Canis lupus familiaris: one gene and its partner. The protein of the gene in region 1 purifies or fractionates together with the protein of each later gene. This does not show direct contact. Links are inferred from orthologs where the notes say so. Each region holds a gene or a part of one and is shown in the gene's direction. Other genes may lie near its edges.

The links.
Region 2: the proteins of FLCN (region 1) and FNIP2 purify together in Homo sapiens (affinity purification with western blotting; 5 studies listed by BioGRID and IntAct, with this or other methods). This does not show direct contact. The link is inferred for Canis lupus familiaris from reciprocal best matches to the Homo sapiens genes FLCN and FNIP2.

Annotation. Positions count from the first base shown.
Region 1 is NC_049226.1:42,389,831-42,394,228, forward strand, and holds the start of FLCN (folliculin), read left to right. Parts: upstream 1-1,567; 5' UTR 1,568-1,583; intron 1,584-3,890; 5' UTR 3,891-4,011; intron 4,012-4,398. UniProt on the Homo sapiens protein: Multi-functional protein, involved in both the cellular response to amino acid availability and in the regulation of glycolysis.
Region 2 is NC_049236.1:56,322,048-56,325,857, forward strand, and holds part of FNIP2 (folliculin-interacting protein 2), read left to right. Parts: intron 1-1,144; coding exon 1,145-1,346; intron 1,347-1,659; coding exon 1,660-1,748; intron 1,749-3,234; coding exon 3,235-3,381; intron 3,382-3,499; coding exon 3,500-3,669; intron 3,670-3,810.

The DNA of each region.
Region 1 (4,398 bases):
TCCTGCCTTCTTGATTGAAACGATATGCAGATTTTTAAATATATATACTCATCTTCTTGTTAAATAATAGCCATAGTAATTGAAATTTTTGTAAAGTCATGTAAATAACATTACTGTGGAAATCAGGCAGTTTGTATTTAGCATTGCTGCTGTGGCCATTTTCTGGGTGAACCCTGTTCATTCTGACAAATGTTGAAATGACGTTTTCTTTTAAAATTGGAAGAGGCACAGTCACATAAGGAGGCTGCAAATATTCCTTGCACCTTCCCACTAAGGCTTTCAAAGAATTTTGCAAACTCAGTAAAATTCAAGCATCTGAAGTCTAAAATAAAAATTAAAAAAAAACCTCCAAATCTGTTTATCCTTATGGGTTTTCTATTGTTTGCTTCAGAAGTTATCTTGTGACTTACGAGCCAATACATTAAGTCTGTGATGTCCACTATCACGAGGAACTGGAGACTCAGTAAACACAGAAAGGCACTGCCTGACCTCGCAACTCCCATACTCAACCTTTTGTCACACCACTAAAGAAGACGAAATGAATTGCAATTTCGTTCTTTCCTCTCCTCAGCATAACGCGGAAATTCGTTATGAATTTCTACTTGATAAAGGCCGAGGCTTCCCCGCCCAACCCCCGCACCTGCCCCCTCGCGACACCCCCTGCCACAGCCACGCGGGCGAGGCGCGGAGACCAGCGGCCTCTGACCCGACCGGCCGCAAGGTGGCAGCACCGCCTCGCAGGCCCAACCGCACTCCCTCCGGCCCGGGGTGTGATCCACATCTCTCCAGCTCTTCCCTCTAAGGGTCCACGGCACATCGTGCACGGAAGCCTTTAGAATTAACCTCTAAGTAGACAGGCGCCCAGGTTTTAAACATACATATTACTTAATAACTGACTCATGGTAGTGAAGACCTCGGACGCCGGCCTTCTCGCCCCGGGAGGCGAGGGTGCCAGGCACATGCGCACTCCGCCGCACCCCACCTCCAGTTTCCGAGCGAGCCTCCCCGCCGCGCTGCGCGCTTCCCCACGTCACGGGACGGCCCCCTCCGGGCCACCTGCCGGCACGTCCCACCGAAGACCGGTTCCATGCCATGTAATCAAAGCCGATGGTGAAACCGTAAGCCGTTACCCTGCTCGTGATCACATCGAGACTTTCTCTACTTCACTCTTCCTTGTGGACCAGGAGTACTAGGTTGGCTCTGTATTCCCTCAAATCTCTTTTAAAAATATTTTTCAATTTTAAGTATCCCCCGCCTTGAAATGGTTTCCTCCACCAGCCGGGCCGGTGCGGCCGGAACCATTCCTCACTTCTGGTGGGGGGAGGCGCGGAAGTCGGGCGGCGGAAGAGGCAGGCGGCGGGAAGCGGCTTCAGGTTTTCCGCGAGCTCAGAGCCGCCTGGCTCGCGCGGTTTTCTCGGGTGTGCGGGCTGGGCTTGGGCCCGCTCGCTTGGCGGTGCAGAGGCGCGTTCAGCCAGCCCGTGCCCCCCCGCGGGGTGCGCGGATGGTACGGCCCGGCCAAGTCACGCGCCTCGGGCTGGGCGCCGCCGCCGCCGCCGCCGCCGCCGCCGCCGCCGCCGCCCCGGGTGAGTGGGGAGGTGGCCGGACCGAGCCTCCTGAGGGCAGGTGCGGGGCCTCGCGAGCGCAGGCGGGCGTCCCGGCGGGCTCCAGGAGCGCAGGGCGAGTCCTGTCAGGTGCGCCGCGGCCCGAGCGCCGCTCCGGCCCCGAGGCTCTCCTCGCCCGCGGGGGTCGGACGGAGTCCGTGCGGAGCCAGTCCCGGAGCGGCCGGCCGGCTCGTGCCGCCGTTGGAACCCGGGCTGGCGGGCTGCTTCGTGGAGGTCGAAGGGAGCCTGGTTCGGGGGGAGGGCTCGGGGAGGGGCGGGCGGCGGGCGGCGGGGGGCGAGGACCGGCCGGGAACGTGCCGGGGCCGAGGGCGCCCGGGTTGGCGGTGCGGCGCCCCCGGAGCGGCTGTGCGGAGCCGCTGACGGGGTGGGCGGCAGATTCCCGGACCGTAAAGGGCCGAGGACCGTGAGCTCGGTTCCGACCCGGCCGGCGTCGCTGATGGGTTCTCCTCGAGTGTTGCCCGGGGCCCGCGCGTCCGGCCGTGCCCCCGCTGCCCGGGGGAGGGTGCGTGTGCGGGTGTCGCCTCTCCCAGGCCGCCGTCCTCGGGAGGGGTAGGCCTACCTCAGCGCCCTCCAAGGCGGCTGGAAGACGCTTTCCTCTCCGGGTTGCTGGATATCGCTGGGCGCAGCCTTGTCACCTGGAATCCTTATTTACCCAAGGGTAGGCTCGCTGCGGATCGAGGCCCAGGTGAGCCTCAGCAGCCATGGGAGGAGGCACCCGGCACCCGCGGCGTCCACCGGGGTGGCTGTAGGGGCTCCTGTCACAGCGGAGAAAGCGCTGGAGGCCTTGGAGATTGAGGAACAGCACGTGGCTGTGTTTGCCCTGGTAGTGTCACCCGCGGGAACTTGGTAAACAGAAATCCAGGTGAAGGTGGAAATAGTAGAGCCACCAAGGTGTTGAACGGGTTTGAGCTGGAAGTAATTCCCTGTGGAACGTTCCACCTTGGACTTGCTGGGGTCCAGCTGCTGACTGAATGAGACTCCCCAGTGGAAGACTAGGTAAAGAAGCTGCAGGGGACCCTGCTGCTCCTTATTAGTTAAGAACCATTATGATGCTGTGTTTATTTTCAAGGTGGTTTTTGAGCCTCTGTGGTCCTATGAGAAGACCCCAGGAAGTGGAAATGAAATAGACCCAGGGCCATGGAAAGGGCCCTACTTTTTTGAGTTATTTGGATTCTTTCTTTGAGTTGAAGAGACTAGGGGAGGGGGACAGATTTCTGCTTCTTCCTTGGGTTCTGGAAAGCTCGTTGAGAACTGTTAGGTATATTCAAGCCAGTTTAGTTTCTTCGGTAAACATCTGGTTCAGATTGGAATTGGGGGTAAATAGAAAACTGACTACTTGGGACACCTGGGTTGGCTCAGCAGTTTGGTGCCTGCCTTCCGCCCAGGGCGTGTGATCCTGGAGACTCGGGATTGAGTCCCACATCGGGCTCCCTGCATGGAGCCTGCTTCTCCCTCTGCCTGTGTCTCTGCTTCTCTCTCTCTGTCGCTCATGAATAAATAGTCTTAAAAAAAAAAAGAAAAACTGACTTCCTGCCACTCAGAATTCTGATTCCACGTGTAGTGGTTAACCTGAGAGCTGGGGTTGGCCTTTGTGTCTCAGCTTTAGGTGATTCTCAGGATAGGAAGATACTTGACATCACCTGTCAGGTAAAGGCTGGAGACAGGTTTTCTTTCTGGATTTTCTGGAGCTAAGTGGTATCTCCTTGTCTTCTGCTGGCTGTCTGGGGCTCTTGTACTCCTGATCAGGACTGCTTTTTAAAAAAACCAAAACAAAACTACTAGTAAGAGTCTCCCATGTTGACCAGGGATGCTGGGAAGTAGCTTGGCAACGTCACCTCTGGTGTCTCCTTCCCATTGGAGGAGGAGAGAAACTTGTAGGCCTAGGATCTGAAGGATTTCATAGGCATGGTGTGGGTGCTGCCAAGGCAGTCCCCTTGTAACCAAGAATAGGAGGGATGAGAACCTTGTATTTGTAAATGTTTTGTATTTTTAAAAGACGTAAGTATATTTATATTTAGAGAAGTCCTTTATGAAATACGGTGTAGGCGTGCAAAAGTTCAGCTCAAAGTTTGGCTGCAATGTCAACTTGCTGTCAGCCACTGCTCAAAAGGCAAAAAGCCTACTAAGCCATTTAGAACCATGGGAATCTCTGGCTCTTTTTTTGTGATGTTCTCATTTTAAGTTGGCAGTAAGCTGCTTGATTGTTGCGTGTGTATCACCAAGTGCATTGCTTTTATGATCTGCTTAAATTTTTTTTTCCTTATCTAGAAAACTTCAAGCCTTAGAGCTGCAGTATGGCCACCGCTGCCCTGCCCGACTCATTTGGAAATGGCCTTGCCTGCTCTTGTCTAGGTGGAATGGTGCACGCGTGATTTTGCTGAATATAACGGTTAGTATGGATGCTCTACAAACTGGGTGAGCCTTAGCCAAGTGCTGCTTTCTTGCAGATATTTTGCTGGAAGGAACCTTATTTCTCTTTTATTCCTCTTAAAGGAAGATGTAGTCTCTTTCTCCAGGGTTAATGCCTCTGCCTTTATGTCTTAGTGCTTCTTCCTGTGGGATTCTTACTCCATTGATGGTCGCTTCACCCCCCTCTTCCATAATAGATTCTTTTTTTTTTTTTTTTTTTTAAGATTTTATTTATTCATGAGAGACACAGAGAAAGAGGTAGAGACACAGGCAGAGGGAGAAGCAGGCTTCCTGCAAGTAGCCTGATGGCAGAGTGGATCCCAGGACTCCGGGATCACTCCTTGGGCTGAAGGCAGATGCTCAATTG
Region 2 (3,810 bases), on another chromosome or scaffold:
AACTTCTGATGTAAGCATGTTTTCAAAGATATGGTTATGTTTGAAATCACAGGAACATTATAGGCTGTGAGTAGAGCACCAAATAAGTTTAAGATCAAGAATGTGGAGGCCAACTGCCTTGAATCCTGCCAAGCATAAATAACTGTTTTGTTGTAATTTGTGGTAAAGAAAACAGGAAGTAGTACCATCCCATACTCATATCTCATAGTACCAGACATATGAGACTAAATGGTGAAAGTTGGTGAGAGAGAAAGTTCATTGCATACCTGCTGTGTGCCAGGCAAGGTGCTCATGTACAATATATTATGCACTTTGCTTTTGGTATCTTTGTAGAAAAAAATTATTTTCATTCTTGCTATTAGTAGCTATATGGTAGTCAACCTTGGTTTTTCAGGATAGTTAAGTAAGAGACAGGGTTAGGCTGTATTTGTGTCTTACCCCTTAAGACAAATTGAGTATATACTCATAATTTATTGACTTCATGATTCTCTTATTATAGAAACAGAATCTCTCAAAAGAATCTTAAGGTTTTTTTTGAGAATTTGACTACCCAGACGAGAGATAGGTCTTTTTACTTGGGCGATTTCCCAGAGAGCTTAATCGATTGCATGGCTTAATCTGAGCATTTACTGGAGTTACTTCATCTAATGGTTTTAATAGCCTTGGCAAAGTAAGCCTCAACCACCAATAAATTTCCAAACATGATGCATTGGTTAAACAGAATAATAATACCACAGGAGCATTTCCTGTGAAATGTTCCTATCTATTGGTATCTATTAACCAAAACAAAGGGCCTGTGTTTTGAGTGACCAGATGTGTCTCCCCCCAATTTCTAAATACTACCAGTCTGATGTAAAATAATCCAAGGGAAAAAGACTAAGAGTCTAACAGGAGGACATTTAAAGTTACTTTTAGGTTTTATTTAAGTTTCTTTTCATGTTGGAAAATACCGTGTAGTAAGCTGATGTTTTCATTTTTCATGACAGAGAATTAGAGAAGAGAATGAATTGGAAGCAGACAGACTCTTGGTTAAGACTCTGAGTGCTCTGGATTCACTTTCTGAATGTCATCCCCTGGCATTACAGTTTATCCTCGATGTGATTTGTTGATGCATGGCAACTTTTCAAACTTATTTTTCCTGCAGGTCTACTGATGAGACATTCAGCCTGGCTGAAGAAACCTGCAGTTCTAATCCGGCCATAGTTCGGAGGAAGAAAATTGCCATAAGCATCATCTTTTCTCTGTGTGAGAAAGAAGACGCACAAAGGAATTTCCAAGACTTCTTTTTTTCTCATTTTCCCCTGTTTGAATCTCACATGAACAGGTTGAAGAGTGCAATTGAAAAGGTAATAAGAACATAATTCTTGTGTCAAATAGAGAAGTGATTATGGGGCTTTAAGGTGGTAGCATCGCGTGGTTTATGTTTCAGATCACTTTTTTAGAGAAGTTAAATCATCTGCAACAGAAATAGATGCTTAGGCATGTTGATATCAAATACTAGAGTATTTTTGGAGAGGCGATTACTGCTTCCTGATGCCTTACGTCATTACACATTGAATGTTTTGATTATATTATTTTATTAATAAAAGCTCAGTAGTAGACAGTTATAAAGCAATTTCTTCTCAGAGAGTAATTTGGTTTGTTTTCTCTTCCATGAAGGCCATGATCTCCTGCAGGAAGATAGCAGAATCAAGTCTCCGTGTCCAGTTCTATGTCAGCCGTCTGATGGAAGCTCTGGGAGAATTTAGGTACATTGACAGCATCTGGCAAAAATAGGGTAACTTTATAAATGACAGTAGCAGCAGCAGCAGCTTGGATCTAGGGATACACAGAGACCATTACTTAGAAGAATTGAGAGGCTGGCAACTATTACTCACTTTAGCAACTCCTTCCCTCAAGGTGGAAATCGAGACCAACTGGAGCAAAAAGTTTTAAGTCTCTCAGTGCCACATAATCTACGCTGCTGCCTGTCATCCAGTCTTTGATTGCTTTTAACAGGATGAATGGAGAAAACTAATATTTAGGGGTCTCTTACAAGCCTATTCATTATATCATGTAATCTTCACAAAACCCTAGGAGTAAGCACTATTAACTAGCCCCATTTTAAAGATGTGGAAACTTGGGATCAGGGCTGCTATCCAAAGCATGGCTGGAGAGAGTGTATATGTCAGGGATATAGACCTTCCCGTCTGCCAGGATGAGCCTCACTTGGTGTTAGCAATTGGAGACCTGAGTTTTAGTAAATAAATCCCAGTTCCATGTGACTTGACTGTAGCTTGTCATTGCTGCCTAACTCAGCAAATGTTTTTGGCCAAGGTGGAAATCTCTAGCATCTCAATTTATTTAGGCACACAGCTAGAAAGTCAAGTCCAGGATATGTCTCAGCTATCTTTATTTGAAGTGGATGTGTTCTGTAGTGGAGATCCTAAGCTGACTTACTGTGCTTTTTGAAAAAACACTTGTGAGTCATGAAGCTTGCGATAGAGCCCTTGGCACCAGGTGTTGGGAGACCTGAAGTCTCATCTGACCTTATTGTTCAATGTCTTGCTCAAGTAACTTAATTTTTCTAAGCGTGTTTCTGAATCTATAAAGTGATAGAGCTACATTGGCCAGTTTGGCTAATAGCTTATACTTCTAAGAATTTGATTCTGTTAGCCCATATAAAAACTCAGTATATGAAAGAGAAGCCACTTATATAGTTTTTCCATCTGAAATGAATAGAGTGCTTTGATTTAGAGAACTAAAGCTCTAACTAGAAATTGGGAGTGTTGAGTTGCCTTTGATCACATTTTGATATAGTATATACTTTCTTTCTTCATTTCATTTCTTTTTTTTTTCTTCATTTCTTTATTATCAGAACAGCCATAAATTTTGAAACTAGGCATTGTGAAATAAATTGCTTTAAAAATGAATATTTTATATGGGGGTTAGTGTACCTTTTCTATAAGGGGCCTCTGTCACAGCTACTCAGCTTTGCCATCATGCAAAAGCAGCAACAGATAATATGTAAACAAATGAGCATGACAGCATTCCAGTAAAGTGTCATTTGCAAAAACGATGGTGGTCAAATTTGGCTTGTGGACCATAGTTTGCCTATCCCTGATTTATATTACTGCTTGAATCTCTTAAGGGCTACATAGATTCAGATTATTGTTTTCTTCTTTATTCCTTTAGATAGAGATTATCCAAGATGATACTTGTGACAATTTTGTGTATCTCTTCCCTTTTCTATAGAGGAACGATCTGGAATTTATATTCTGTTCCAAGGATCGCTGAACCTGTGTGGCTTACCATGATGTCCAGCACTTTGGAAAAAACCCAGCTCTGCCAGCGCTTTCTCAAGGAGTTTACGCTTCTGATAGAACAGATCAATAAAAACCAGTAAGCTTCAAATCTCTGGAGCCTTGTATGCAACTTTCATGGCCAGTGTATGTGCTGCATGTGACATGCCTCTTCCTGCATTGACTCATCTGGTTGTATTTTCTTCCATTTCTCCAAGGTTTTTTGCTGCCTTACTGACTGCAGTGTTAACCTACCACCTGGCCTGGGTCCCGACTGTCATGCCTGTTGATCACCCTCCCATTAAAGCCTTCTCAGAGAAACGCACCTCTCAGTCAGTGAACACGCTGGCCAAAACACATCCATATAATCCTCTCTGGGCACAGCTGGGTTAGTACCTAATTTGACTATTCAGAGACTCTGTGGGATGGAATGGAGAAAATGCTCAAATTTTTTGTTGAAATTGGCCCTCCATCCCGGCGATTTCCGGAGTTGTCATTGGGCAGACAGACAATAGGAGATTGGCCCACA